Oryctolagus cuniculus: one gene and its partners. The protein of the gene in region 3 interacts with the protein of the main gene of each other region in a pairwise test. Links are inferred from orthologs where the notes say so. Each region holds a gene or a part of one and is shown on either strand. Other genes may lie near its edges.

Region 1 (3,500 bases), on a different chromosome or scaffold from region 3:
GAGGGAAAACAGAATCACAATGTGGACCACCTAAGCACCAATTACCTTCAATGCAGCGCTGAGAATCAAGCCAGTCTACTTATCTGAATTGTTTTACTCTCAGCAGTCGCCACAGACAGGACTGACTTCCCTTTAGGGTGAATTTTAAATCTGCACTCAGCAACGGTAATGAAAATTGTACTTGTCACCGCACTGGAGGAAACTCTTAAAGATTACTCCAAGGTAATCTGGCAATCCAAATTGTACGCTTGTCCCAAACGCAAGCCCGGTATTCTTTCTCCTGAGTACCATGCTATTAGGGAGAAGGGCTTAGTGCTCTCTTTACACAGTTTGATAGCACCCTCGTCAGGGAAGCTTCCCTCTCAAAAACCAAATATTGTTTTAAAATTATACTGATGCCTCGATCTTTATGAAGCCACCCCGAAGTGTGGATATAATGTGATGGCAATCAAATCCCTTCACCAAGTGCACAGATGTTTAGCAAATGAATTGCCACAGAGCAGGAAGCAGGGCAGGTGTCGCTGCCTCAGATTTGAGAACGCTGAGGGCTCTCTGCTCTGAGGCACACGACCCAAGGGGAGTGTTCTCTCTCCCCATTTCACAGGGACAAACAGCTCGCCCTGAACCTAGCAAGCCTGCAAGGTCAGAACTCCAGGTGCAAGAACGCGCGGAGCAAGAGGAAACAGCAAGCAGAACGCACAGCCTGGACTCCCAGCCCCACGAAAAGCCGGGACGCACAGATGCCAACAGCAGACGCTCTGCTCCACCGCGCTCTGACAGCGCAGAACCCAAGCTGCCGTGACTCCTCACCTCATTTCCGATAACGTCAATGTTTTGCTGGACTTGAGGGACCCACTGTCTTAAAATGGCAAACAATTCTGAGACCGACGTCTTGGGATCGAAGAGGATCTCCTGGCACGAGGCATCGTTAGGATCAAAGAAAGAAAACTCTGTTGGAGATTTAAAAAAAAAATGTGAATTAAAGCTTTGGGTTTTTTTAAGATTTATTTATTTGAAAGAGCTACACAGAGCGAGGAGAGGCAGAGAGAAAGAGAGAGAGAGAGAGAGAGAGAGAGAGAGAGGTCTTCCATCCGCTAGTTCACTCCCAAATTGACCACAACAGCTGGAGCTGCGCTGATCTGAAGCCAGGAGCCAGGAACTTCCTCCAGGTCTCTCCCGCGGGTGCAGGGGCCCAAGGACTTGGGTCATCAACCGCAGCTTTCCCAGGCCACAGCAGAGAGCTGGATTGGAAGTGGAGCAGCCGGGACTCAAACCGGCACCCATATGGGATGCCGGTGCTTCAGGCCAGGGTATTAATCCGCTGCGCCACAGCACCAGCCCCGTGAATTAAAGCTTTAAAAATATATATGCTGAAAATAATCAGCACTAAGATCAAGGCTCAAAGGCTGGTGCTGCGGCTCACTAGGCTAATCCTCCACCTGCAGCACTGGCACACCAGGTTCTAGTCCCGGTTGGGGCGCCGGATTCTGTCCCGGTTGCCCCTCTTCCAGTCCAGCTCTCTGCTGTGGCCAGGGAGTGCAGTGGAGGATGGCCCAAGTGCTTGGGCCCTGCACCCCATGGGAGACCAGGAGAAGCACCTGGCTCCTGCCTTTGGATAAGCGTGGTGCGCTGGCTGCAGCACACCGGCCACGGTGGCCATTGGAGGGTGAACCAACAGCAAAGGAAGACCTTTCTCTCTGTCTCTCTCTCACTGCCCACTCTGCCTGTAAAAAAAAAAAAAATCAAGGCTCAAGGGGTGCAAATACTTTTAGGTGCTGGAAAAAGTAGGTTCACCTTAAGCAATTCTCAAACCAAAGCCAGGACCCTCAGAAATGAGGTGTGTCTCAATGACTGTGACCATGAGATTTCCACGCATTGGATTACATTTCATTTTAGAGGAAAACAAATGCAAGTACACAGATCTCAGATCCTAAATCTTTCCAGCATTACTTCTAAGGCACAGAAAGCTGTTGTCAAGTTTTACTGACATTCCTGCCTCTCAAAACACACATCTTCAATAGCAGATTCACACATATGAGTAACAGAACATTAAAACAGAAATATGCCCAAGTAGCAAGAGTACCAGAGAAAGAGAGAAACAGATGAACAGAGAGCGTTCCCAATCACTGGTTCTCTCCCCGAGAGGGGCTGGGCTGGGCTGAAGCCAGGAGCCAGGACCTCACTCCAGGTCTCCCATGTGGGTGGCACCGACCCAGTCCTCGGCAGCCAGCACCACCACCTCCCAGAGTCTTGATTATCGAGAAGCAAGACGGAGGCGGTGCGGCCAGTTACGGAACCCAGGCACTCCGGTGTGGGATGTGGGCAGCTGCACCAGCATCTGAGCCACCAGGCAAGCGTCCACCCCACACTGTGGACATTAAATGTCCTTGCTACTGCTGTGCAGTTTCCCAAAGTTCCACGAGAAACGAGCGAGGAACCTGAGGGGAAATGCTACTCCAACAATAAACACCTAAATAAAAGAAGTAACATCTCACAACATGCAAGTCAAAGAAGCCCACGGAGAACACGTCTGGGTTACTGTGGAAGCTGTATTAGTAAGGACACTGAACATGTGAGCTAAATAGTTCTTAAAACGTCTTCCTTGCGATTTAAAGAAAAAATAGATATTGTTCTATGATTAGAGGGAAAAAAAGAGAATGACTTGTGAAGGAAATAAAACAAAGAAAAGAAAACAAGATTCTGTTGTCTTGAACAATCAAAACAGGCAGGGAATAGAGACAAGAAGGACCTAAAAATAGAAACACTAGGGAGCTAACATTTGCTGAGCACTCCCAATGCAGCAAACACTCTGAGAGCCCTCACCCACACCTTAGATGGCAGGGGTTCGTCTCCCTTTGCCTAAGAGGAAATCAAAGCTCAGACAAAATGATACAAAGTCACATAACTAGGTGCCAAAAGTGGGGCAGACGCCCAGTTGGTCTCTAAAGTGTCTCTGTTAGACCACTTCACTAAGATAACTCACTACTGAGCTCAGATTGGAATGACATACTTATGCAGTAAGATGCATGGGGCCGGCGCTATGGCATAGGTTAATCTCTGCCTGCAGGGCTGGCCTCTCATATGGGCTCCTGTTCGAGTCCTGGCTGTTCCACTTCCAATCCAGCTCCCTGCTAATGTGCCTGGGAAAGCAGCAGAAGATGGCCCAAGTGCTTGGGCCCCTGCACCCAGGTTCCTGGCTTTGGCTTGGCCCAGCCCTGGCTGTTGCAGCCATTTGGGGAGTGAATCAGTGGATGGAAGCTCTATTTATCTCTCTCCATCTATCTCCTCCCTCCCTCCATCCCTCTCTCTCTCTCTCCCCTTCTTGCTAATAAATACATTATTTATTATATCTCTCAAATCTTTTTTTAAAAAAAGTAGTAAGATTCATGTGGTTTTTTGTAATTTTTTATTTGAGAGACAGGCATCTGCTGGATCACTCCTAAAATGCTCACAAAGGCCAGGACGGGGTCAGGCTACCACCCAGAACAGGAAACTCAACC
Region 2 (2,322 bases), on a different chromosome or scaffold from region 3:
GGGGACAAGGGATTACACTTGAAATTGACCGTCTGAAGAGAGGGTGGGGCTGTATTATTAAAAGGGTGCTGCTCACTGTGTGAGGGGTCTTCCTGGATTACTAAAGCAGCTAGATGGGACTGGGTGCTCACCAAGGCGATTTGTCTGCCCACAGTCCGTGCAGCCATGGGAGCGGCGCACCTTCCCCCTGGCCTACAGTCCCCAGGCCGAGTGTGAGGACCAGCTGGATGCGCAGGAACGGGCAGCCCGCTGCACTCGGCGCACCTCAGGCAGCAAGACTGGCAGGGAGGCAGAGGTGGCGCCCACCTCGCCTCCCGTTGTTCCCCTCAAGAGTCGGCATCTGGCGGCAACAGTCACAGCTCAGCGCCCGACTCACAGATGAGTGGGAAATGGGAATCTAAACAGACTCACTAACTATTGGCATTAAAGCTTCAGAAATCTCTGCGTTTGATATTCAAACATCATATGCCGGAAATTTTCACAGTTTTTAGTGAATTTAAGGAATTTAGATCCTACTTTGGTATTTTTTTCTTGTTTTGATTTTTGTTTTGTTTTTGTTTCCATGTTTTCTTGTCACACACCTGAGCACTTCCTCCAGTTGGCAAACAGAAGTTCAGGATAAGACCCTGCTGGCCTGGTCCTGGCGTAGCCTCTGCACTGTTGAATCACTGGACCTACGAAGTTAGATGATCACCCTTCTCCCTCACCCCTGTGGGCAGGGTGGAATGCCAAAAGCGCAGAGGGAATGGAAAGCTCCAGTTCAGCTTTGCCTTCTTAGGTTAGGGTGGGACAGAGCTCGGCACCCTGGGCTCTTACGCCTTCCCCTCTCATCAGTGACTTGGTTCAGCTCTGGCCAGGTCCCCATCTCCCACACCACGGTCTCCCCCCACCTGCCCGCTGTACTCCCTGAGCCCTCAGCTGGCAGAAAGCTGCTCCCTGTCACCCGTTTTCAGTTTCACTGCATTTGGCCATGTGCCATGACTCCTTCACTGTAACCTGGCTGCAGCTGCTCAGGTTGCCCCAGCCCGTCCCTCTGTACCCTTCCTTCGTGGCTCCCCCAAACGCCATGCACACCCGGTCCTTCCACTCGGAACGCACTTGCCTCCTGTGCTGCTCTGTGAAGGTGCAGTTAGGACAGCTGCACCTCTGTTCCCACTCCCCTGCAGGGGCAGCCATCTCTCCTGTGTGCTGTTGCTTTCACCAGCTGATCCACTCCTGTGTCAATTGGACTTTCCTCTTTCACACACCCCTTGCCTGTGGAACATCGTCTAGTCCTGGCTGTGGTTTCCATCCCTCCCCCGTTCCCTCCTTTGTTAACCTTGTGCCTGTCTCATGTATAATCACATCACCAAAGGGGGAGGGGGGAAGGACTTTTTTTTTTCCTGCCATTTTGTAATCGTATAAAAATAGTAGACAAACTGCTTAATGGTTGGGGTTTTTTCACAATTTTCAACATTAGTGATTTTTTTTTTTTTGGTTCTGTTTGCAAGTTAAAGGGTTTGTCATTGTTTCTTTCAAAAACAATAATGCACCATATCCCTATGCATAAAGTGCTTCTTCTATTTATAAGGTTGAAAATTCTGAATAACCCTTTTAGCATTGTAAAAAAATTGAAAAAACTGTATTTTGTAAATATTTTCTTTTCCTGCTTTGAGCTGTGTAATGGCAGCGAAACATGTAGCTGTCTTTGTTCTATAGAAATGCTTTTCTTCAGAGAAGCTGATCTTTGTTAATGTCTTGATTCTGTTCGCAAAGCACAGACTCGTGCTTAAAAAAAAGGAAGGAAAAATTGAAAAAAATAATAAAAAAAAGAGTTACAGAATGTTATGTATGTGCCGGGTGTTTCTTGGCGTGTCGGGCTGTGTGTGATAACTGGCTCTGAGTCGGGAGGTCTCTGTTCCGCCGTCACCTGGCAATCGCCAGTGAATGCACTGTGCTAGTTCCCGCTGCGGGGTGGGGCAGGGCGGACAGGGCGGACCGGGCATCCTGTAGAGCCTCTGCCTTTTCTTTTTACTGGGCTGAAGTGGCCATAGCCCCTCGGTGGTCCTTGTTCTCCAGTGAGGCCAGTGCTGTGATGCTGTGTCCCTAGGCTTAAGTTGCTTGCTCTTGGAGCTTTACTTCTCACATCAGTCAGTGGCTGGTCTGCACAGAGCCTGGGCTGGCGCCCACCGTGCTACCTGAGCTTACAGCATCTTTCTTCGAAGGAGGCACAGTGCTTGATTTTCTTGGTAGGAATGAGCAGGCCTCATTCTACCCCCTTCTCTGTTCTGTTTATGGCAGTCTAGCCAGAGAGAGCAGAGGCTGCCCGGTGAGGTGCCGCGG
Region 3 (3,500 bases):
TGGTCATGTCCCCCAAACGCCCCCTCCACTGGCGGCAGCAACTGCTGCCTAGGCCCCAGTTTAAAGTGGCCTGGGGTCTCGGGGCCTCTGCTCCCGAGGCAAAACACACGCTGTGCAGAACCCCGGTGTCCGTGAGGGGTGCCCCGCGGGCAGCACCTACCTCCATGGTGTACGTCTTGCCAGCGCCCGTCTGGCCATAGGCGAAGATGCAGACGTTGAAGCCGTCGATGCAGGAGGTGACCAGGGCCTGCACCTCCTGGAACACCTGGAAGAGGAGTGTGACGGACTGTGGGGCCCCGCCAGCTCCAAGCCCGCTCGCCCCCAGCAACACCATGGCCTGTGGCCCTGCTGATGCTCCCTGCTCTCCAGCCCCCCGTGCTGGACACTGGTGGGCAGCTGGGGTGCTTCCACCAACGCCGGTGCGTGGTCCCCCGTGCAGCTCAGTGAATGAAGGCAGAGGTAGGCACCTGCCTGCACCTGTACCTCCAGGGCCTGCCGCCAGCAGACCATGCAGGAACAAAGGGGTGGACGTGGGAACAGGAGGGCACAGGCAGGACAGGCCCGGGGGACTGGGTGTGGCAGAGAAAGGGGGATGCAGAGACCACACAGCACCCATGTACCTGAGGGGACAGAAGCCCTAGCAAGATCCAGGGGACTGATACAAGAGGGTATCCTTGGGACCAGTGCTGTAGCACAGTGGGTTAAGCCACAGCCTGCAGCACAGGCATCCCATATGGGTGCCAGTTCATGTCCCAGCTACTCCACTTCCCACCCAGTTCCCTAATGGCCTGGGAAAGCAGTGGAAGATGGCCCAAGTGCTTGGGCTCCTACACCCGCATGGGAGACCCGTAAAAAGCTCCTGGTTCTTGGCTTCAGCCTGGCCCAGCCCTGGCTTTACTGCAGCCATTTGGGGGGTGAACCAGCAGCTGGAAGCAAATAAATAAATCTTTAACCACAAAAGAGGGTATTCTTGGCAGGAGAGGGCGCTTAGGGGCCCTGGATCACATAAATGGGAGGAGCCACATGGTGGGCAGGGCCTGACACATGGGTGGGGTGGGGTGGTCTGCAGGCAACCCGGCCCTTCCCACGGGAGGCTTCTGAGGCCCTCAGTCTTTGCTTCTCACTCGTCCCCACCACCTTCCGTCTGGCTCTCCCCACGAGTCTGTCTGTCCCTCTGGGCTGCACTCACGTCCTGCTGCGAGGCCCACGGCGAGAAGACCTTGTCCAGCTCAAAGGACACGGGCTTGCCCTTGTGCAGCAGGTGGATGATGGAGTCGTCATCAGGGTCGAAGGTCACTGCGTTGGTCGCCTCCGGGCCTTCCCCATCCTCTTTGGTGACTGGCCGGACACGAGCAATCACCCGGATGTTCCCTGAGTTGGTTGGGGGTGGAGAGAAGGGCCCAGGCCGGGTCTAGAGCAGACTGCCAAGGCTGGCATCTTGGCGCAGTGGGCTAAGCCTCTGCGTGCAATGAGGCTCCCATGTGGGCACTGGTTTGAGTGCCAGCTGCTCCACTTCTGACCCAGCTCCCTGCTAAAGCACCTGGGAAAGCAGCAGAGGATGGCCCAAGTGCTTGGGCCCCTGCACCTGGTGGGAGACCTGGATGGAGCTGCAGGCTCCTGGCTTCTGCCTGGCCCAGCACTGGCTGTTGCAGCCACCTGGAGAGTGAACCAGTGGAGGGAAGGTCTTTTTGTCTCTTTTCTCTCTGCATCTCCGACAAATATTTAAAAAGTACAAAGCCGGGGGTGGTGCTGGGGTGTAGTGGATAAAACCATAAGGGGGCCGGCGCCGCGGCTCACTAGGCTAATCCTCCGCCTAGTGGCGCCGGCACACCGGGTTCTAGTCCCGGTCGGGGCGCCGGATTCTGTCCCGGTTGCCCCTCTTCCAGGCCAGCCCTCTGCTGTGGCCAGGGAGTGCAGTGGAGGATGGCCCAGGTGCTTGGGCCCTGCACCCCATGGGAGACCAGGAAAAGCACCTGGCTCCTGGCTCCTGCCATCGGATCAGCGCGGTGCGCCGGCCGCAGCGCGCCGGCCACGGCGGCCATTGGAGGGTGAACCAACGGCAAAGGAAGACCTTTCTCTCTGTCTCTCTCTCACTGTCCACTCTGCCTGTCAAAAAAAAAAAAAAAAAGAAAGAAAGAAAAAGAAAAAAAGAAAAATAAAAAAAAACCATATGGGTACAAGTTCGAGTTACGGCTGCTCCACTTCCAATCCAGCTCCCTAATAGTCTGGGAAAGCAGAAGATGGTCCAAGTCCTTGGGCTCCTGCACCCCCATGGGAGACCCAGAAGCAGCTCCAGGCTCCTGGCTTCAGATCGGCGCAGCTGCAGCTATTGCAGCCATTTGGAGAATGAACCAGTAGATGGAAGACCTCTCTCTCTGCCTCTAACTCTGCCTTTCAAATAAATCAATCTTCGAAAAATAAAATAAACCACATGGCCTTCACACTGGTACCCTCTGGTGTTCCAGGAAGGCGAGAGGTCCAGGAGCCCCCCTCCCAGGGCTGTCATCCATCCCCTGCACTGTGGTATGCCTTTGAGCAATGCAGCCCTGGGGGCTCTGCCTTGGGGCTGGGAGGAAAGGCGGGTGGCACTGGTGGGGCTCCGGCACTGCCCCAGCCTGAGAAGAGACCTTGCCCTCTGGACCTTGGCTTCCTCACCCCTCAACGAGCAGCTGGAGCCTTGATGAGCCAAGGACGTTTTCTGGTCATTCTAGAAGGGCTCGGCCATCAGGCCAGGAGGCAGGCAGACAGCTGGGCAGAGACACTGGGGCACCCAAGGGTGTCTGGCAGCATGAGCTGGTCATGCACCCCTTGCTTCCAACCCACTCGTGGAATCCCAGCACCCCCCCCAACATGGCCCCCCCTTCCTTCCCCTCCTAGTCCCCGTCCAGCTCACAGGCCAGGTGTCAGTTACAGCTCTGCCTCCTCCAGGAGCCCCCTACACACCGACATCTGTCCCATACCAGGGGCTGTCAGAGCGCCTCCCGGCTCTTTCGTAAGGGAACACAGTTAGGGTCCCCTGGGTGACAGTCACTGTCCATTCTCCCAGCCAAGGCGAGTACCATGAGGGCAGGGACGGCACCTCTGGGGCGGCAGCACCTGGCACAGAGCACCCAGGCTTCCGTGCAGGCCCCAGGTGAGAACAAGTGGCAACCCAGCCGCCACTACCCAGGGCCCCGGGGAGTGAACTGCTGCGGGCGCTGGGCGGGGGCTTCAGCGCTGCACACGCCCGAGGCAGACCGTTCTCCGCCACACAGCCTGGAGCATGTTCCCTGACCGCTCTGCGGCTCCGTGTCCTGGTCTAGCTCCTCCATGGGGCAGCACCCCCGGCCCGGCCCGCCTGGCGGTCACGGTCACCTTTCAGCCGCACGAGCTCGTTGTGGCACTTCTTGCGCAGCTGCAGCTCCCGGCGGTACTTGCGCAGCAGCTCCTGGTTGTTGCTGTTGACCTCCTCGATGGCCTGGCCAATCTGGGGGCGGCGGCACAGGCACGGCTGTGGGGGG
Region 4 (4,291 bases), on a different chromosome or scaffold from region 3:
AGGTGAGAGGGGGCCCCTAGCTGACACTCTCTGACCCGTACCCCTCGCTGCGCTGGCCGCCTGCTAAAGTCAGGGCACAAGTGTCAACCCTGGCAGGAGTGGAGGATGCGGGTAGAGGGTGGGGGCGGGGCCCACAGTCCGGGAACTCTGCCTGCTCCACTCCTGCCCTGGGGTGGCCACCTGCCCCCTCCCCGCCTGCCTGTTCGTGGCAGCTCTGTCTGTCTTGTGCTAGCACCGCCGGGCCCCTGCCTCAGCAAGGGACCATCCAGGGGAATCTGGGTCCCTCTGGTCTCTAGGGGGCTGTGCAGGGGCTCAGGGATGGGGGAGGGGTGATAGAGATTGGAGATTAGGGGGAGACTCCTGACTGGTGGAGAAGAAGTGGGAGGGCTCAGAGCACTGCCTTCTAGGGTGCGTCTTGATTTGGGGTTGGGAGGGGGTGGGCATCCCTCTACTTCCAAGAGGTGGCAAAGAACGGGACCTGCAGGCAGCGCTGGTGCCCATATATTCCCTCTTCAGGCGTGATCTGCCCAGACCCTCCCCAGGGAGCGTCTCCATCTCCCACTCTGTCCTCCAGGGATCGCTCTTTCCTCAGTCCTCAGCTCCCACCCATGGCTCCCACAGGCCGGGTGGGCAGCCTCGAACCACAGGCTACCCCAGACCCCTGGACGTCTGGAGGACAGAAACGCAGACACCAGAGGCACACGACTGACCTGTGCTGGGGGAGCTGGCGGAGCCTGGGGGCTTCTCCTTCCCGGGCAGGGCAGGGAACCCAGTGGAGGCGGAGAGCCCGAGCCAGGAGGCTGGGTAATCCGGGGCTCGGGTTCCGGCTGATATATATAGTATCTTATCTGACCTCCCTGAGACGGCAGCAACTCACTTGGATTCCAAGCCCCGAGAGAATTAAAGGGACAGTAGCAGGCCCACCCTCCGCCACTGCCCCACCTGGCCAGTGCCAGCCTAAGAGAGCCGCTGGGCCTCTGGGGAGGGGCGCGTGTGGAAGGGGGGACGGAGGGGTGGGGTAGGGGAGTGGGTGTCAGGAGGAAACAGGACAGGAAAGAGGGCAGAGGGGTGGGGGCAAAGGCAGAGGCTCTGGATCTGTCCACCACAGGGGCAAAGAGGGGAGAGGCCTCGGGGCCAGCCCAGCTCCTTTAACTGGGAGAAGGAGTGGGTCTCGGGGCACAGCGGCCAGCACCCAGGCTTCAGCTCCATACGCTTTCAGCATGGACGCCTCGGCCTGGGCTTGCATTCTAGCTCCTTCCCACTGGATCTGAGACAGTGAGCAATCACTGTGCTCGCTGGGCCTGGGCTCCTTGTTAGCTTATACAGGAGGAATAATAATAAAAGAAAATAATAATAATAGGGGTACATCTCACAGTTGTGAGCATGGATTAATCTTTGTGACATTTCCTGGCCTATAGAAGACTCCAACCCATGACGGTTAAACCGAACACTTGCCTTGGTTCCTGTAGCTTAGCGGCTGTACTAGAGCAGCACCTCACCCCGCGAATCTTCCTGGGAAGGGGACGTGGGCACCCTCTCCAACACCAGAGTGCCACAGGGCTCTGAACAGGTGCCTGGCCCATCAGTGGGAAGAGCATCTTTCTAAATGTCCTCTCCAACACGGGGAGGGGGGGGGAGTCAGCCCATCTGGGACCCTTCCCCCCCTGCCTGACCCTGCTGGGGGCTCCCACTCTACCTGTTCCAGAGCTCAGGATTCCAGGGCCTCGGGGCCGGGCCGCACAGGGTCGCAGGAAGGAGGAGGAGAGTTCTTGGTGCACCTGTCTGCTCCCGGGTAGTTTCTCGCTGGCTGTCCCAGAGCGCGGCGAGTTCCCCAGGCTGTGCCTCCGCCCCGTCTCAGCACGGGCTACTGACTCAGCCCTCGACCTGCTGATGCACTTCCCAGGCCGCCCGCGCCCGGGCTGTCATTCCGGTCCTCATTCCAACTGCAGCCTGGCACGTGTGTGCGGCATCAAAGGGGAGGGGGCAGCCGCGCTTCCCCGGGGCTGTTCTCGCGCCCCTGACGCGCGAGGCGAGGGCAGCAGCCCTTGCCTCCAGCTCCATCTTGGTCCCGCTCCGAAAGCAGCGGGCCTGGGAGGTGGAGCGCCCACTCCTCCGCGGGGAGCTAGAATGGGTCGTCCTGGGCTGGCTTCCCTGGGCTCCAGACTAGAAGTTGCGTGCCCCGGAGCACCGCGTGCCGGCGTCTGGGTTGGGATTGGTGAGGATTTCAAAGATGCCTCTTTCTGATTTGGGATTGGTGGAAATTCTCCCATTCCGCGTAACTGCTACCCTCCCCCAACACCCCCCTCCCCCGCTTCTGGCAAACTGACCACAGACAGCCGTCGCGAGCTTGGCGAGCTGCGCGCACGCGTGGGGAGGGGGCCGTCGGCGTCCAGGCGGTGAGGCTCAGGCCCCCGGCCCGCGGGAGCTGCGCTTCTCGGAACACACCGATCCGTACACAGATGGCTCTTCCTGGCACCACGGGCTGCCAGCTGGCAGCCCCCCTCGCACGCGGGCGCCCGCCGCTGGAGCTCCCCCGCTCAGCTGGCCCTCGCCCTACATTTCTGGTGCCCAGGCTGACGCTGACCTCTCACCTTCGGAACCTGAAACCGGCAACTGACCTCCGCACCCCCTGTTCCCGATCTCCGACAGGTGGCACGTACCTGCCTCTTCTCGGAGGATGGACGAGTCGAACCCGGCACAAGCATGGAGCTGCGGGTGAGTCCCGGCTGGTACAGGCGCGGTGCAGTGAGCAGCAGCTGACGCAGAGGGCTCCCTGGCCTCGGCTCCTGCCCGCCTCTCCCCCACCTCCGCCGGGGGCCCTGGAAGGACCTCCCCGGGAAATCGGCGCCACCCAGCGGGCAGCCACCTCATTGCACCCAGGCTGGCAGAGCCACGCCCCGCGTCTCACGGCGATTGGCTCGTCTCTATTGTGACGTCATCCCCTCCCCGCCCGGCCAGGGTCTCCCGGGCAACCGACGTACACAGAGTACCACGTGGAAGGAAAGCACGCCAGTTTGCAGTGGGTGGAGCAAGGACAGAAGTGGGGTGGATGCGACGCGGCGGGGCAGCTGGAAGGTACTGGGAAAGCGGAGGGGCCGGGGGCGGAGGGAGCCTGGGAACTTGAGCCCCGGGCGGATCCACTTTCAGTTTTTAGGAACCGCTGAATGTCACTGCCCCTTTCCACCGGGCTGGGGGAAGTCCTCAGCCTAGGCCTCCACTCCTTTGGCCTGCTCCTATAGGAGCTCCCTGCTCCGTTTACTTCCATGGATTGGTGAGTATTGATGACTACCCGATTGCATAAACAGAGACTATGGAAGGAATTCTCCTTCGTCATCGAAGAACTTGAATTTTTTTAAAAATTGTTTTATTTTTAAGTCAGAGTTACGGAGAGAGGCAAGAGAAATCTTCCATCTGCTGGCTCACTCCCCAAATGGTCACAGCGGCTGTGGCTGGGCCAGGCTGAGGCCAGGAGCTTCTTCTGGGTCCCCCACCTGGGTGCAGGGGCCCAAGCAGTTGGGCCCTCTAATGCTGTTTTTCCCAGGCCACTAGCAGGGAGCTGGATTGGAAGTGGAGCAGCTGGGACATGAACCTGTGTCTGTACAGGATGCCAGCTTTGCAGGCTGTGGCCTAACCTGCTGCACCACAACTCCGGCCCAAGCACTTGCACTTTTGACCTGCCTCCCCTCTCCACGTGCTTGTGAGGACCAAGTGGACTGGTGCCAGGGCAAGATCAGATTTTCAACCTCACTGGGACCAACAATGAGTACCTTCTCCATAGCAGGTGACTTCACCCATCTGCACACCCCTCAAACCCTCCTCCTCCTCTGTTTCCTGGAGAAACTAGGTGCAAACAGGATGTGGAGACCTAAGTTTCTACCTGCAAACATACCTGAATTCATTCTTCCCTCTGCGCCAGGAGCTGTGAAGAAGATGCCCCCCCCCATTTTTTAAAAACACAAGTATCCATGTGCACCTATGCTTTTTTATGTATGTATGTATGTATTTGAAAGGCAGAGCTACAGAGAGGCAGAGGCAGAGAGAGAGAGAGAGAGAGGTCTTCTGTCTGCTAGTTCATTCCCCATATGGCCACAATGGCCGGAGCTGGGCCAATCCAAAGCTAGGAGCCAGGAGCTGGGTCTCCCACACAGGTGCACTTGGACCATCCTCTGCTGCTTTCCCAGACCATTAGCAGAGAGCTGGATCGGAAGTGGAACAGCTAGGACTGGCACCCACATGGGATGCCGGCACTGCAGGCGGCAGCTTTACCTGCTACGCCACAGCGCCGGCCCTG
Region 5 (3,500 bases), on a different chromosome or scaffold from region 3:
AAGTTACTAGTTGTACAGATTTCTTAATTAAGCTGCTGATCTGAAATTCTTGGGATACCATGGATACCAGAAAAAAATTCATGAAAATGTATGCTATGAAAAAACTATGCATGGATTTGAAAGTTCTTTTTCACCAAAATAAACTTTTTTCCATAAACTTACTGAAGTGCCCTCATCTAAAGGTAACTAACCAACAAAATACAGAAAAACCACATTAAATGGTAAATTTACATTTCCCTCTTAAAGTAAGTTTTATCTAAAATGACTCTTATTCTCCCCTATAATTTCTCTGTGTTTAAGTTGATTATGTATTAATGGGGTGGGAAACATACAGTCTGTGGGCCATACAAGACCTGTGAAATCATTTGGTCTGGCCCTGCCAAGGCAACCACAGGTGGTACTCAAAATTCAATAAATCTACAGCAGGCTGATTTTTAAGTTGATAATTTTATATGGCCCACAAATGATGTTATAATAGCCAAATGGACCTTGGCAGAAAAAAATGCTCCCCAGCCCTGAATAAAGAAGGAATCTTCTTTCCCTGAAATATTTGGCTAGTCAGAGGCTTTTACACATTAAAAATTAAACTTTACTTGGGGTACCAACTTTTTCCTCCTTAGCTTATATGCTATCACAAATATAACATTCTAACCTTTTCATCACTGGTAGTAGACTCTGGGTGAGGTAAAGGACTATCCTGGTGAGTTGTTTCTACAACAGAAGGCTCCTCAATTTTACTTCTTATGATGGGTGTTGCAAGAGGGGATAAATCTAGAGGCATCTAAAATGTAAACAATAAATAAAGAAAATGTCACAAGTTCAAATGTAGGCCATTAGAAAGTATGAAGTATAAGCTAGCAATATTTTTTCTATCAAAAGTACTCTTCTCTTAATTTTACGATTAACAACGTACTTTTTTAATGTCGTCTTCTGAAGCTTTCTTGAATTCATTCTCAAATGGACTTGCCAACTCATTAAACAAACCCACTTCTTCACAGTTTTTCAAGAATCTTGTTGGAGTTGGGGTCTGATCTGAAATAAAGTCAAGAAGTAATCACACAGACTTAAATATTGTATACCATATTAAGATTCTAAAATATAGCAATAAGTTAACAAATTAGAAGGACTGGTTCAGTCACAGTTGTTAATTCTCTCTTTGGAAAGACCTCTTCCTTTAAAGCAAACAAAATCTGGTTAAGTTTCTGTTGCACTTCCAGGTATTTCCTCCAACTTTGGGAACCATAAAGGATGAAAGAAGTCTTTTGCTCCTTTGTCCACCCCTTCACTCTCCCTTGAGTGGCATGAACATCTTCTACGCAAGAGATAAACTATTATCATTATCTAACACAGTGATAAGAACTTTTAAAAAAAACTTACATTACTAAAAATTATTATAATCTCAATACATGCATTTTGGGTAAAACTAGGATAAGAGCATGTATATTTATTTTAACTTGGCACTTCCACTAGCTGTTCATAATGTATTTTGAAAGCAAGCTTAAATTAAAACAGTATCTTTAGTAGGTAGATTAAAATACCACAAAGAAGAAAAAGAAAGTGAAAAGTCCTGAAAACAAAACAAACTCCTTATTACTATCTACTAAAGCTGATTGTTCAACTTTAGCATATTTTATAAGCTTGGTCTTAACGTTCTAGCTTAATTTCTAGGCAAATAAAATAACTACTTTTTTTACAACTTCAAATATTTTAGCTATACTTAAATTTGCAGCTTATGTTGTTTACATATATATATATATATATATCTACAGAACAAATGTCAGTTAAAGTCTAGGTTGAATGAAAGATAGTAAATTTTGCTCATTTAGTTGTATTGTCCCCAATGCTGTTTATTTATGTTGATTATAATTGGTAGCATATTCAAACTTTGTTAGTATTTTATCTACTTTAGGGCATGAATTTTATAAGTTATTTTAAGGATTTCACCTAAGCTAAATAAAAGTAATCTATTAAGAGCTCTTTTATGAAATTAAATTCAAATATTTATTAACTATTGTGTTTCACAATGGTAATTACTATTTTACCTTTCCCCCTAACATACACAAAGTGTATTAATATTTTTTCTACACATAAATATATTCAACATCAAAATAACCCATTTGTCATACACATTAGACATACTGCAGGCCTATCTTGGTCACTATTAATCATATCAAATTACTGCCTATCAGTATAATCTTTAACCTATACCCTACTCTTATCTCCAAAATCATGCTACATTGAAGGCTTCATGTACATGTATCAGCTTAAGTCCCTCATGACTGAATTAATAAGTCAAACATAAATTTAACTCTTCTCATACCCAAAAGGTTTGCCTATCTAAGCTCTTTAGAAAGCTCACAACTCAGGGAGAGAAAAGTCTTGAAATGCATAAGCATAGATCACTTTCATTAATGACTACTGGGACTGTTAGACTTAAGTAAAGCCAACATAGACACAACTGTGTAACATGCAGATTGCATATGGCTACTGATCATCAGATATATACCACACACATCATGTGTTACAAAGCAATATAAACTGTTCAACATGTCAGTAAAAAAATGGTCAAATGCTGTGTTTGAACGTGTTGTATTTTTCTATTCCATTAAATACAAACAGGAAAATAATTTCTAGAAACCAACTTCAAAACACTTTTTGAGTTAAAATATTAGAGAGATTGCTTTAAGACATTAAGTTTCACAGAAACAAAGATCTTCATGCCTAGGAAAGTGAACTTTTCAGCTTGTTTTTATTTTTTTTTTTTGTTGTTCTAGGTCTTATTATCTGATGCACAGAAGACTAAAGAAATGCATTATTCATTCTTCTACACTTCCTTTCATTTATGGAACTGAAGACCTACTGAAATTCCCTATATCTTTCCTACATAAATTATCTCTGATAGATTGACTACTTTTTGTTATTCCCCATTTCATTACAACCTTTTGATACTGAAAGTACAGGAAAATCAACCAATATTTGCTGTGTTACCTATGCAAAACATTGCATATGATAATTTGATGTATATACTAGTTGTTTAAAAGTACTAATATTACTAAGTTTTCGGACATAATTCCAGACTTACAAATAGTATAACCTAAGGTGTGCAAGAAAGAAGAATCTAGAGTTAATTTGAGTATCTGAAATGCAAATTTATGTGACTGTGATAGAAAAGTGTCTAAAATTTATATTAAATGTTTTATATCATAATCCTTATAAAATACATATAGTAAAATTATTCATATTTTGTATATACACAGATGTGTGTGTGTATATATACTGAAATAACTAGCTAATATAGCATGAAATGAATAAATCAATGCATGAATTGGGTTTCTCTTTTCACATAATATGAAAAATAATTGCTTACATAATACTGTATGTATGTAGGGTCAACACACACGAAAAAAAGCACCTAATGAATTCAGGACCCCTTACGAGTATTTTACTAAGACAAATGTTTTGTTTGGAAAAAAAAAAAATTCTAATCCGGAAATTTGCTA
Region 6 (4,277 bases), on a different chromosome or scaffold from region 3:
GGGGGGAGCAGGTGTACACTGGGGGGGAGGTGTGCACTGGGGGGAGCAGGTGTGCACTGGGGGGGGAGCAGGTGTGCACTCACTCTGGGGGAGGCAGGGTCCCCGGGGCCCCCACTTTGTCTCCTCACCGGGAACACTGACCCGGCAGCGCGGGCGTCCCCTGCACACGTGAGCCTGAGCCGGGCCTGCGAGTCCCACACTCAGCGGCTGTGTCTGACCCTAGAGTGCTGGCCCTGGACCGAACTCCTTAAACCCTCAGATGAGCCGCACCCTCTCCTCACTGCGCACCTGGACGCCTGCCCGCTGCCCCGGGGGAACGCTCCACCACCACTTCTGGGGCCACTCCGGGAAGGGGCTGAGTGAGACAAGAGGTGGCGCAACTCGGGAACCGACAGGAGCAGGGACAGCAGGGACCACGGGCAGGGCGGGCAGCGCGGTGTGGGCGGGCAGCGCGGTGTGGGCGGGGCAGCATGGCATGGGCGGGGCAGTGCCTTGTGGGTGGAGCAGCGCAGCATGGGCGGGGCAGTGCCTTGTGGGTGGAGCAGCGCAGCATGGGTGTGGGCGGGGCAGCATGGCATGGGCGGGGCAGTGCCTTGTGGGTGGAGCAGCGCAGCATGGGCGGGGCAGCGCGGTGTGGGTGTGGGCGGGGCAGCATGGCATGGGCGGGGCAGCGCGGTGTGGGCGGGGCAGCATGGCATGGGCGGGGCAGCGCAGGGCCGTCTTACCTTGTCCCATAAGGACTGCAGCTCCTCCTGGCCGCCCAGGTCCCAGAACATGAGGCGAGCTTTCCCCACGTCCACGGTGCCGACTGGACAGAGAACAGGAAAGGCTCGTGACCTTGCCCCTGGACACACACGTGCCAGAGCTCCTGGGGGACCAACAACCCACTGGCGCTGCTGGGAAGTCAGCGGCTGAGGGCAGGGCAGGCCCTGGGGTCACCATCGGTCAGGGCGGGGTCTGGGGTCACCATCGGTCAGGGCGGGGTCTGGGGGTCACCATCAGTCGGGGCAGGCCCTGGGGGTCAGCAGAGGAGGGCAGGGCAGGGTCTGGGGTCACCATCGGTCAGGGCGGCCCCGGGGTCAGCAGCAGTCAGGCCGGGCTGCGGTGGCCAGCTGCTGGGCCGTGGCCGTCACAGCAGGCTCAGGGCTCCACCCGCGCCAGAGGCCCCGCCTTACTGTTGAGGCCCACGGTGGTGGTGATCTTGCTCAGGCTCATCCCCTTGTAGTTCTTGCTAAACCGGGTCTTCGACTGCTCCAGGAAGGTCTGGGGAGACAGGGCAGGCGGCGTCGGGGGCCAGTGCAGGCAGGGCCGCGAGCCGCTGCCGCTCAGGGGGCGGGGCCTGGCCCCAGCCCAGCGCTCCGGGCCGCGGCCGGGCACCTACCGTCTTGCCGGCATTGTCCAGCCCCAGGATCAGGATGCAGTACTCGTCTTTCTGGAACATGTACTTGTACAGGCCGGACAGCAGCGTGTACATCCTGCCCTGGACACCGAGACACGTCACGGCCGTCGGGCCCGCGCCCCGCCCCGCCAGGCTCGAGGCGGGCCCGGGGGCGGCTCCCGCACGGGCCTCGGCTCCCGCCGCCCCGCGTCCCGGCCGCACGGCCCCCGGGCCCGCAGCCTACCTGCGCCCGCCAGACGCGCGGAGCAGCCGAGCGCCGGGCCCCGCCGACCCCGCGCCGACCCCGCGCGGCGCCTGACGGGACGCGTCCCGGCGGCCCCCGCGCGCCCGGCACTTCCGGCGCGGAGCGGAAGTGCCGGCGGCAGCGGCGGCGAGGGCGGAAGGGGCGCCGGGCGGCTGTGGTGGGGGCCCGGGGGCCGCGCGGAGGAGGCCGGCCCGGGCGGACGCGGCGGAGGGCGCCCCCGGCGCCGCGCGGCCCGCGGCATGGACGAGGCGGCCCTGCAGACGTACCGCGCGCAGCTGCAGCAGGTGGAGCGCGCCCTGGGCGCCGGCCGGGACTCGCCCGAGGAGGCCGACCTGCGCCAGCTGCAGCGGGACCTGCGGGAGCTCATCGAGCTCACCGAGGCCGGCCTGGCGTCCGACGGGCCCGGCGCCCCGCCTGAGCCCCCGGCCCCGGCCGCCGCTGCGGGCCCCGCGCCCGCGCCCGCGCCCGCCGAGGAGCTGAGCGGGACCAAGGTGAACGCCCCCTTCTACAGCGCCTGGGGCTCGGCCGAGTACCACAACGCCATGGTGGTGGGCACGGAGGAGGCGCGCGGCGGCGCGGCGCGCGTGCGCGTGCTCTGCCTGTGCCCCACGCGCGCGGCGCTCAAGCCCTGCCCGTTCTTCCTGGAGGGCAGGTGCCGCTTCACGGAGCGCTGCAGGTGAGGCGCGGGAACCCCCGGGCGCGTCTGCGGGAGGCCGGAGCCGGTGCGGCCCAGCCGCCGGCTCCGCGGGAAGACGTGGAGCGTACCTTCCTGCGGGGGTCCCCCCGCGTGCGCAGAGCAGGGGCGGCGCCGTGACCTCCCCCGCTGCCCTGGCTCTGCCAGTCTCGCGCCCCTGCGTTCCCTTCCCGACTTTGTAAAAGTATTCGTTCACTTGAACGACTTGGAGGTCATCCATCCGCTGGTCACTCCCCAGATGGCCGCAGCGGCCAGGGCTGGAGAAGGGGGCGGGGCGGCCACGACGCGGGGCCCAGCCTTGCCGGCACGTCTCCCGCGTCTCCCCTCCTTGCTTCCTCCCTGGAGTCTTGCTGTAGCGTGCAGGCGGGGCGGCTGGGCTCTCCTGCCCGGGGTCTCGGGGCTCCGTCCCCGCCGCTCCGCTGGAGGGGGCAGCAGGCGCCGGGCGCTGCTGGCCGAGGCGGCCCGGCCGTTCTGAAGACTTGCAGAGCGGGTTACATACACCTGCCCCAGCACGGCTAGGGTTGCAAAGTTGTTTTCCTGGACTTTTAAGACAACAGAAACAAAACGGGCTGGGCTCCCGCTGCGTGGGTCCCCTGCAGTCTGCCCCCTCTGCCGTTGGTGCGCCTGCTCTTGCTGGAGGCGTCCCCGCGTGTGTCGCGTGGGCGGTGTGTTCAGCCCTGTGGATGCTGCCTCTCTGTTCTGTCCCCGCCTCCAGGGAGAGCTTTGCCCGGCCGAGCCCTGGCGGCAGTGACCTTGCCTGACCGGGAGCTGCGGGGGCCCGGGTTGGACTCTGTTTCCCCTGTGTCTGGCGAGGACGGCCAAAAAACTGTCTCAGACCCCCTCCCTCGACGGAACTGGGCGCTGTGCCGGGCTGTGAGGTCAGACGCTGTGTGACCAGATGGACTCCCTGACCAGCTGGCCGGGAAATAGCCGCCCCTCCAGCAGTGGCCGCTGGCCGGGCTCCCCAGGCTCGCCCGCGCCCTGGCTCAGCACTCCTTGTCTTTTTTAGATCGATTTATTTGAAAGACAAAGTGACGAAGATCTTCCATCCGCTGACTCACTCCCCACAAGGCCACACCAAATTCAAAAAATTTATTTATTTATTTGAAAGGCAGAGTGACAGAGGGAGAGACAGAGATCTCCCACCCACTGGTTCACTCCTCAGGGGGCCTCCACAGGCAGGCTGGACCAAGCCAGAGCCAGGACTGGGCTGTGCTGGACCAGGCTGGAGCCAGGACTGGAGCCGGGGTGCCCCAGCACTTGACCATCGTCTGCTTCCTTCCGAGGCGCGTGACCAGGGAGCTGGAGTGGAAGCCACACTGCAGTAGGGCGCCAGCGCCACAGGCGGCAGCTTCACCCTCGGCCACAGCACCAGCCCCCGCTTGGTGTTGCCGTAGCTCCCGGCCCGGCCAGCCCCTGCTGTCTCTGATCGGCCGTGTCTCCACACGTCACAGTGGGATCTGCCTGTCACCCCGCCTTTTTCTGTGGCTTACTTCACTTAGCCCTGGTTTCAGGGCCCATTACCGTGTGGCGTGCATCAGAGCTCCATTCCAGCCCACGCACGGGCGTTCGACTGGAGTGGGGGGCTGTTGGGACCCCACGTCCCCCTGCAGTGCCGCCTGCAGCTCCTGCTACTGTGGGCCTTGGGAGGCAGCAGGGAGGGCTCCGGCCGTTGGGTCCCCAGATGGAGTTCCTGGCCCTGGCCTGGCCTCGTCCTGGCCGTCGTGGGCATCTGGGAGATGAACCAGTAAAGTCTGTCCTCTCGAATAAATACATTTTTAGAAAGAATCGTTCACGGGGGAGCTGGATGGGAAGTGGAGCAGCCGGGACTCGGACTGGCGCCCCCGTGGGACGCTGGCCCTGCAGGCGGTGGCTTTACCCGCTGCGCCACGGCGCCGGCCCTGGTTCTGACGGTTTTGATGGCTCTGTCTTCTCAGAGT
Region 7 (4,235 bases), on a different chromosome or scaffold from region 3:
ACCCACATAGCAGGACCTATAAACTGATATCTCCAAACTAGATTCAAGCACCATACCTAAGTGCCCAAACAAGGTCAAAGAATCACGTAAGGGTATATGTATACAGGAGGGGGTTATGGTGCATGGAAGTGATGGGGTAGACTGGCTTTGGCAAAACAAAAGGACTAACAGAAGCTTATTGTGATAGTTCTGGTGGGTATGGTATCTGCATTTACATGTTATATTTGACAAAACTGAAACAAATTAACCCTGAAAATTTGAGATAGAGACTCTAACCAATCTGAAGGCAAATATCTGACTCCTACACTCTCTTCCCTGTCTTTTCAGCACTTTTTCCTCCAGCCCCAGAACTTTCTGCCCTGTGGGACTTTCTGTGGTAGCTTATCAAGGTTTACTTCTGGGATCTGTCAGGTACGATGGCCTCAGAACAGTGTCAAACTCATAAGACTTAGTTTTCTTTTTTGGGTAGGTCCCCATCCTTTTGAAACTAGCTCATTGTACAAACTAATCTCTCCTAAGGTAATATTAGTTTGTAGTATACATTTTAGCTTAACAGGCCCTCTGGAAGTGTAATTACCACTACAGATAAATGACTGACTCCCCTACCACAGCAGCCAAATCACACTGTCATCTTAGGGCAAGTTGTTCAAATGGCAGTCCCATGGGCAGTTGTTTTAATTTGGGGTGGGTGCTTGGCACAGTGGTTAAGATACTGCTTGCATCCTGTATCAGAGTGCCTAGGTTCAAGTCCTGACTCCGCTTCCAATTCTAGCTCCCTGCTAATACATGACCTGAGAGGCAGCAGGTGATGGTTCTGATAGTACTTATGTACCTGCTATCCACGTGAGAGATCCAAATGGAGTTCCCAATTACCAGTATCAACCTGGCCCAGCCATATCTACTGCAGGCTTTTGGGGGACCAACATACGAAGGATCCCTCTTTGTCTCTGTCTCTAGCTCTCTGCCTTTTAAATAAATAAATTGAAAAAATTAAATAACTATTATTTATATAAATTGTGCTTTCAATAAAACATACATTATCTTATTTGGATCTTATATTAGCTAGGTCAGCTGGGAAAGAGAGACAATTATTCTTTTTGTTCAGAGAAAGAAACTGAGATTTTAAGGAAGTTATGTGCTAACATCACCCAGCACATGGCAGAGAATGGATTCGACTTCAGGATTCCAAATTCTTTTCCTCCATTCAAAGATTTTTTTCCTCCATCACTGTGCCTCCTTTGTTGCCCACTGAAAATTGTGTGAGGGGTGGGGGTGGGGGGAGCTTTATTACAGCAAAGCTGGTCCTCGGATGCTTCCCCTGGTTCATGTTCAGGGTCTCCAGCTGCCTTACTTAGGGATAACCATGAGTTGTTACCCTGTTGGAGAGATATTGGCCATACAAAATGCTGCTACAAAATTTTTCATTAATAGCTTTAGAGTACAGATAACAATTCCAAAACATGCAGTTATTTATTTCTACTAGACCCAGGCCATGACAGTTAGCTTATGAGACGCTTTGGACAAATTAAAGAACGCTGAACCTGGTGGACTTGCGAGCAGGACACATGTGGCTCTGAAAACTGATCAACGAATAGGCTGTTTCCTCCCACCCTGAGGAGTCATTTGGGAAGCACTGGAATCTCAGTAATTTGCTTCTCTGGCTATTTATCTGTACGTGTGTCGATTTACCCACCATCTTGATGTTTTAAACACCCGTCAGGTAACACTAAAGTACAATTGATAGCACAGCTGATGCACCTGTTTCTTCAGGGATTATCCACCAAGGGATAGATTAATTTTCCTCGTTAAGTAAACAAAAAAACGCGAATACTGGCTGTTCATTCCCAACAGATACTTAAAGAGTAGGGAATAAAATTCTGTACTTTGAACTGTCTAGAAAATGGAGTGACATGAATGCCCTCCAAGAAATTTTTATAGTAATCTCTTCGGTGAAAATTAAAAGGCCTTCCCACGCCTCCGTGTCGAGTATTTTCTGTGGGGGCAGAGAAAGAGGTGGGCCGGGGACCGGGTCGGGAGGATCTGCACGCGGCACCGCGTCTCCCAGCCGGAAATCAGCCTGGCGGGGACCGGGACCAGCCCTTAGCCCGCGCCCAGTCCCATCCCCGGTCGTGCCCCCGCTGTACCGCCACTCGCTCAGGCCGCACAACTTTGTAGTCGTCTTCATCCTCCGAGGCCGCCGCCGCTGCCGTCAGGGAAGTGAAGGGGTCTTCGCGTTCGTACTGGGCGACCCGCGCTCCGGTGTTGGGATTTACCGGGAGTTGGAGACTGGCGGCCGCCAGCCTGGCCTCTCGGTGTGAGGCGGCCATCACCCGCCTCCGAGGCCGGAGCGCCAGCGCTGGCCCGGGGCGGGTAAGCTGGCGCGGCCCGGGAGACCCGGCGGCTCCTCGCTTACAGCCGGCGGTTACTAGGGGCGCGGTAACTAGGGACGCTACAGGGGCTGCGAGGGATCAAAAGACTAAAAAGCTTCTCGGGCTGCCTGGGACCCGAGTCCGTCACTCAACTGGAGAATGGGAGTCAGAACTAAATCTGTTTGCTGGATTAGAAGATTGCGGACGGAAAAGGGCACCTCTTCCCCTCCGGTCACCTAAACGCAGACTTCTGACACTATCATAACACACCCGTTTTGTGAAGACAAGAGCGCATTTTTATTAACTGGAATACCAGGTTGGGAGGGGATGATGGCGGAGGAGAGTAGCATCTTATTGTGAAGTGACCTCAGAAGAATGTCAAGATTTGTATCCCAATACCAAACATGGCTGCCTCAGAGCAAGAGAAGGGGAAGGATTGACCTGAGCAGGAATCAGCCAATCAGAAGGAGGCTGCTAGGTGACTCTCGCGCGATTTTTTTGACCTGACCAATAAAAAGCCCAGGGTAGGGTGGCGCCTGGCCCGCCCACCAATGACGATACCCGTACAGAACGCGATGCTCGCTTTGGAGTCGCAGGCCTATGAGTGGCGGGGACTGAGGGCGCCAGTGTCCGACGCGCCATAGACACACCTTCATTCCACCTCACCCCCGCCACCTTCCCACTGGGCACTGGGGCGCCTCCACTGGCTCCTTCCCTTCACCACGTGGCTGCAAGAGGCCAAGCCAGAGTGTCACATGCTGCCTCAGCCCCTCCTTGGTGAGACCAAGGCCGCCGCCCCTTTCCTCGCCCTATCATTTGGATTCCTTCGCCCCTGGCCAAGTCTGCACTATTTCCCGTTCTGTTAAGGGCCTTTGTCACTCCAAAGTGTGGTCCCGCTTTCTGGCGAGTTCTAAGAAACACCGGGAGGAGCTGTCACACAAAGCAACTTATCTGGGGGCCTTCTCCGAGGCTCAATATGTTAATCCTCCGCCTGCGGCCAGGGGCGCCGGTTCTAGTTCCAGCTGCTGCTCTTCCAGTCCAGCTCTCTGCTGTGGCCTGGGAAGGCAGTGGAGGATGGCCCAGGTGCGTGCGTCCCTGCAGCCGCAAGAGAGACCCGGAAGAGGCTCCTGGCTTCGGATGGGCGCGGCTCCGGCCACTGCGGCCATTTGGGGGGTGAACCAACAGATGGAAGACCTTTCTGTCTCTACTCTAACTCTACCTCTCAAATAAATGAATAAAATCTTAAACAAAACAAAGTAACTTACCTGCAGCAAATGAGGAAACCACGAAGAATCATTTCCAAAGTCTAACTCCACAAGCAGGTAACTTTTATTTAGGGGGAAATGATTATTTAAGAGGGGAAGTTTTTATTTACTTTTTAAAAGTTTTTTAAAAATTTATTTGAAAGCCAAAGTTAGAGAGAGGAAGACAAAGACAGATCTTCGTCCGCAGGTTCAATGGCCCAAATGGCCACATTGGCTAGGGCTGCACCACGCCTAAACCAGCAATCTGGAATGCCATCTCCGTCTCCCCTGTTGTTTTTTAGGATTCATGTATTTATTTGAAAGGCAGTTAGAGAAGGAGAGATTGATCTTCCATCTGCTAGTTTACACCCCAAATGGCCATAACCGCCAAGGTAAGACCAAAGCCAGGAGCCTCTTCTGGGTCTCCCACGTAGGCCAGCTGCTTTCCCAGGTGGAGTGGAAGTGGAGCAGCTGGGACACTAATCGGCACCCATATGGGGTGCTAGTGCCACAGGCAGAGACTTAACCTATGTCACAGTGCCGGCCCGTTCATTGTCTTGATACAGGATATGCAGACAGCTAGAGCTGGCTAAGCTGGCAATCAAGTTCCCGTATAATTCTT

What was found.
Region 1: the proteins of KIFC3 (region 3) and CLIP4 interact in binary tests that used the Homo sapiens proteins (3 or more experiments, as listed by UniProt). The two-hybrid records come from large-scale screens. The link is inferred for Oryctolagus cuniculus from reciprocal best matches to the Homo sapiens genes KIFC3 and CLIP4.
Region 2: the proteins of KIFC3 (region 3) and KANSL1 interact in binary tests that used the Homo sapiens proteins (3 or more experiments, as listed by UniProt). The two-hybrid records come from large-scale screens. The link is inferred for Oryctolagus cuniculus from reciprocal best matches to the Homo sapiens genes KIFC3 and KANSL1.
Region 4: the proteins of KIFC3 (region 3) and USP2 interact in binary tests that used the Homo sapiens proteins (3 or more experiments, as listed by UniProt). The two-hybrid records come from large-scale screens. The link is inferred for Oryctolagus cuniculus from reciprocal best matches to the Homo sapiens genes KIFC3 and USP2.
Region 5: the proteins of KIFC3 (region 3) and ATF2 interact in binary tests that used the Homo sapiens proteins (3 or more experiments, as listed by UniProt). The two-hybrid records come from large-scale screens. The link is inferred for Oryctolagus cuniculus from reciprocal best matches to the Homo sapiens genes KIFC3 and ATF2.
Region 6: the proteins of KIFC3 (region 3) and ZGPAT interact in binary tests that used the Homo sapiens proteins (3 or more experiments, as listed by UniProt). The two-hybrid records come from large-scale screens. The link is inferred for Oryctolagus cuniculus from reciprocal best matches to the Homo sapiens genes KIFC3 and ZGPAT.
Region 7: the proteins of KIFC3 (region 3) and FAM161A interact in binary tests that used the Homo sapiens proteins (3 or more experiments, as listed by UniProt). The link is inferred for Oryctolagus cuniculus from reciprocal best matches to the Homo sapiens genes KIFC3 and FAM161A.

Annotation. Positions count from the first base shown.
Region 1 is NC_091433.1:173,864,631-173,868,130, forward strand, and holds part of CLIP4 (CAP-Gly domain-containing linker protein 4), read right to left. Parts: intron 951-3,500; coding exon 811-950; intron 1-810.
Region 2 is NC_091448.1:17,223,636-17,225,957, forward strand, and holds the end of KANSL1 (KAT8 regulatory NSL complex subunit 1), read left to right. Parts: intron 1-154; coding exon 155-382; 3' UTR 383-1,822; downstream 1,823-2,322. UniProt on the Homo sapiens protein: Non-catalytic component of the NSL histone acetyltransferase complex, a multiprotein complex that mediates histone H4 acetylation at 'Lys-5'- and 'Lys-8' (H4K5ac and H4K8ac) at transcription start sites and promotes transcription initiation.
Region 3 is NC_091449.1:41,231,008-41,234,507, forward strand, and holds part of KIFC3 (kinesin-like protein KIFC3), read right to left. Parts: intron 3,467-3,500; coding exon 3,355-3,466; intron 1,372-3,354; coding exon 1,190-1,371; intron 266-1,189; coding exon 161-265; intron 1-160. UniProt on the Homo sapiens protein: Minus-end microtubule-dependent motor protein. Involved in apically targeted transport. Required for zonula adherens maintenance.
Region 4 is NC_091432.1:110,941,470-110,945,760, reverse strand, and holds the start of USP2 (ubiquitin carboxyl-terminal hydrolase 2), read right to left. Parts: upstream 2,801-4,291; 5' UTR 2,661-2,800; intron 2,197-2,660; exon of another isoform or gene 1,697-2,196; intron 871-1,696; exon of another isoform or gene 711-870; intron 1-710. UniProt on the Homo sapiens protein: Hydrolase that deubiquitinates polyubiquitinated target proteins such as MDM2, MDM4 and CCND1. Isoform 1 and isoform 4 possess both ubiquitin-specific peptidase and isopeptidase activities.
Region 5 is NC_091434.1:66,026,607-66,030,106, reverse strand, and holds part of ATF2 (cyclic AMP-dependent transcription factor ATF-2), read right to left. Parts: intron 1,033-3,500; coding exon 914-1,032; intron 782-913; coding exon 653-781; intron 1-652. UniProt on the Homo sapiens protein: Transcriptional activator which regulates the transcription of various genes, including those involved in anti-apoptosis, cell growth, and DNA damage response.
Region 6 is NC_091442.1:348,523-352,799, reverse strand, and holds the start of ZGPAT (zinc finger CCCH-type with G patch domain-containing protein), read left to right. Parts: upstream 1-1,477; 5' UTR 1,478-1,882; coding exon 1,883-2,319; intron 2,320-4,277. Other genes in the region: ARFRP1 (ADP-ribosylation factor-related protein 1), read right to left, coding at 289-355, 726-808, 1,176-1,263, 1,382-1,474. UniProt on the Homo sapiens protein: Transcription repressor that specifically binds the 5'-GGAG[GA]A[GA]A-3' consensus sequence. Represses transcription by recruiting the chromatin multiprotein complex NuRD to target promoters.
Region 7 is NC_091433.1:140,941,708-140,945,942, reverse strand, and holds the start of FAM161A (protein FAM161A), read right to left. Parts: upstream 2,801-4,235; 5' UTR 2,328-2,800; coding exon 2,145-2,327; intron 1-2,144. UniProt on the Homo sapiens protein: Involved in ciliogenesis.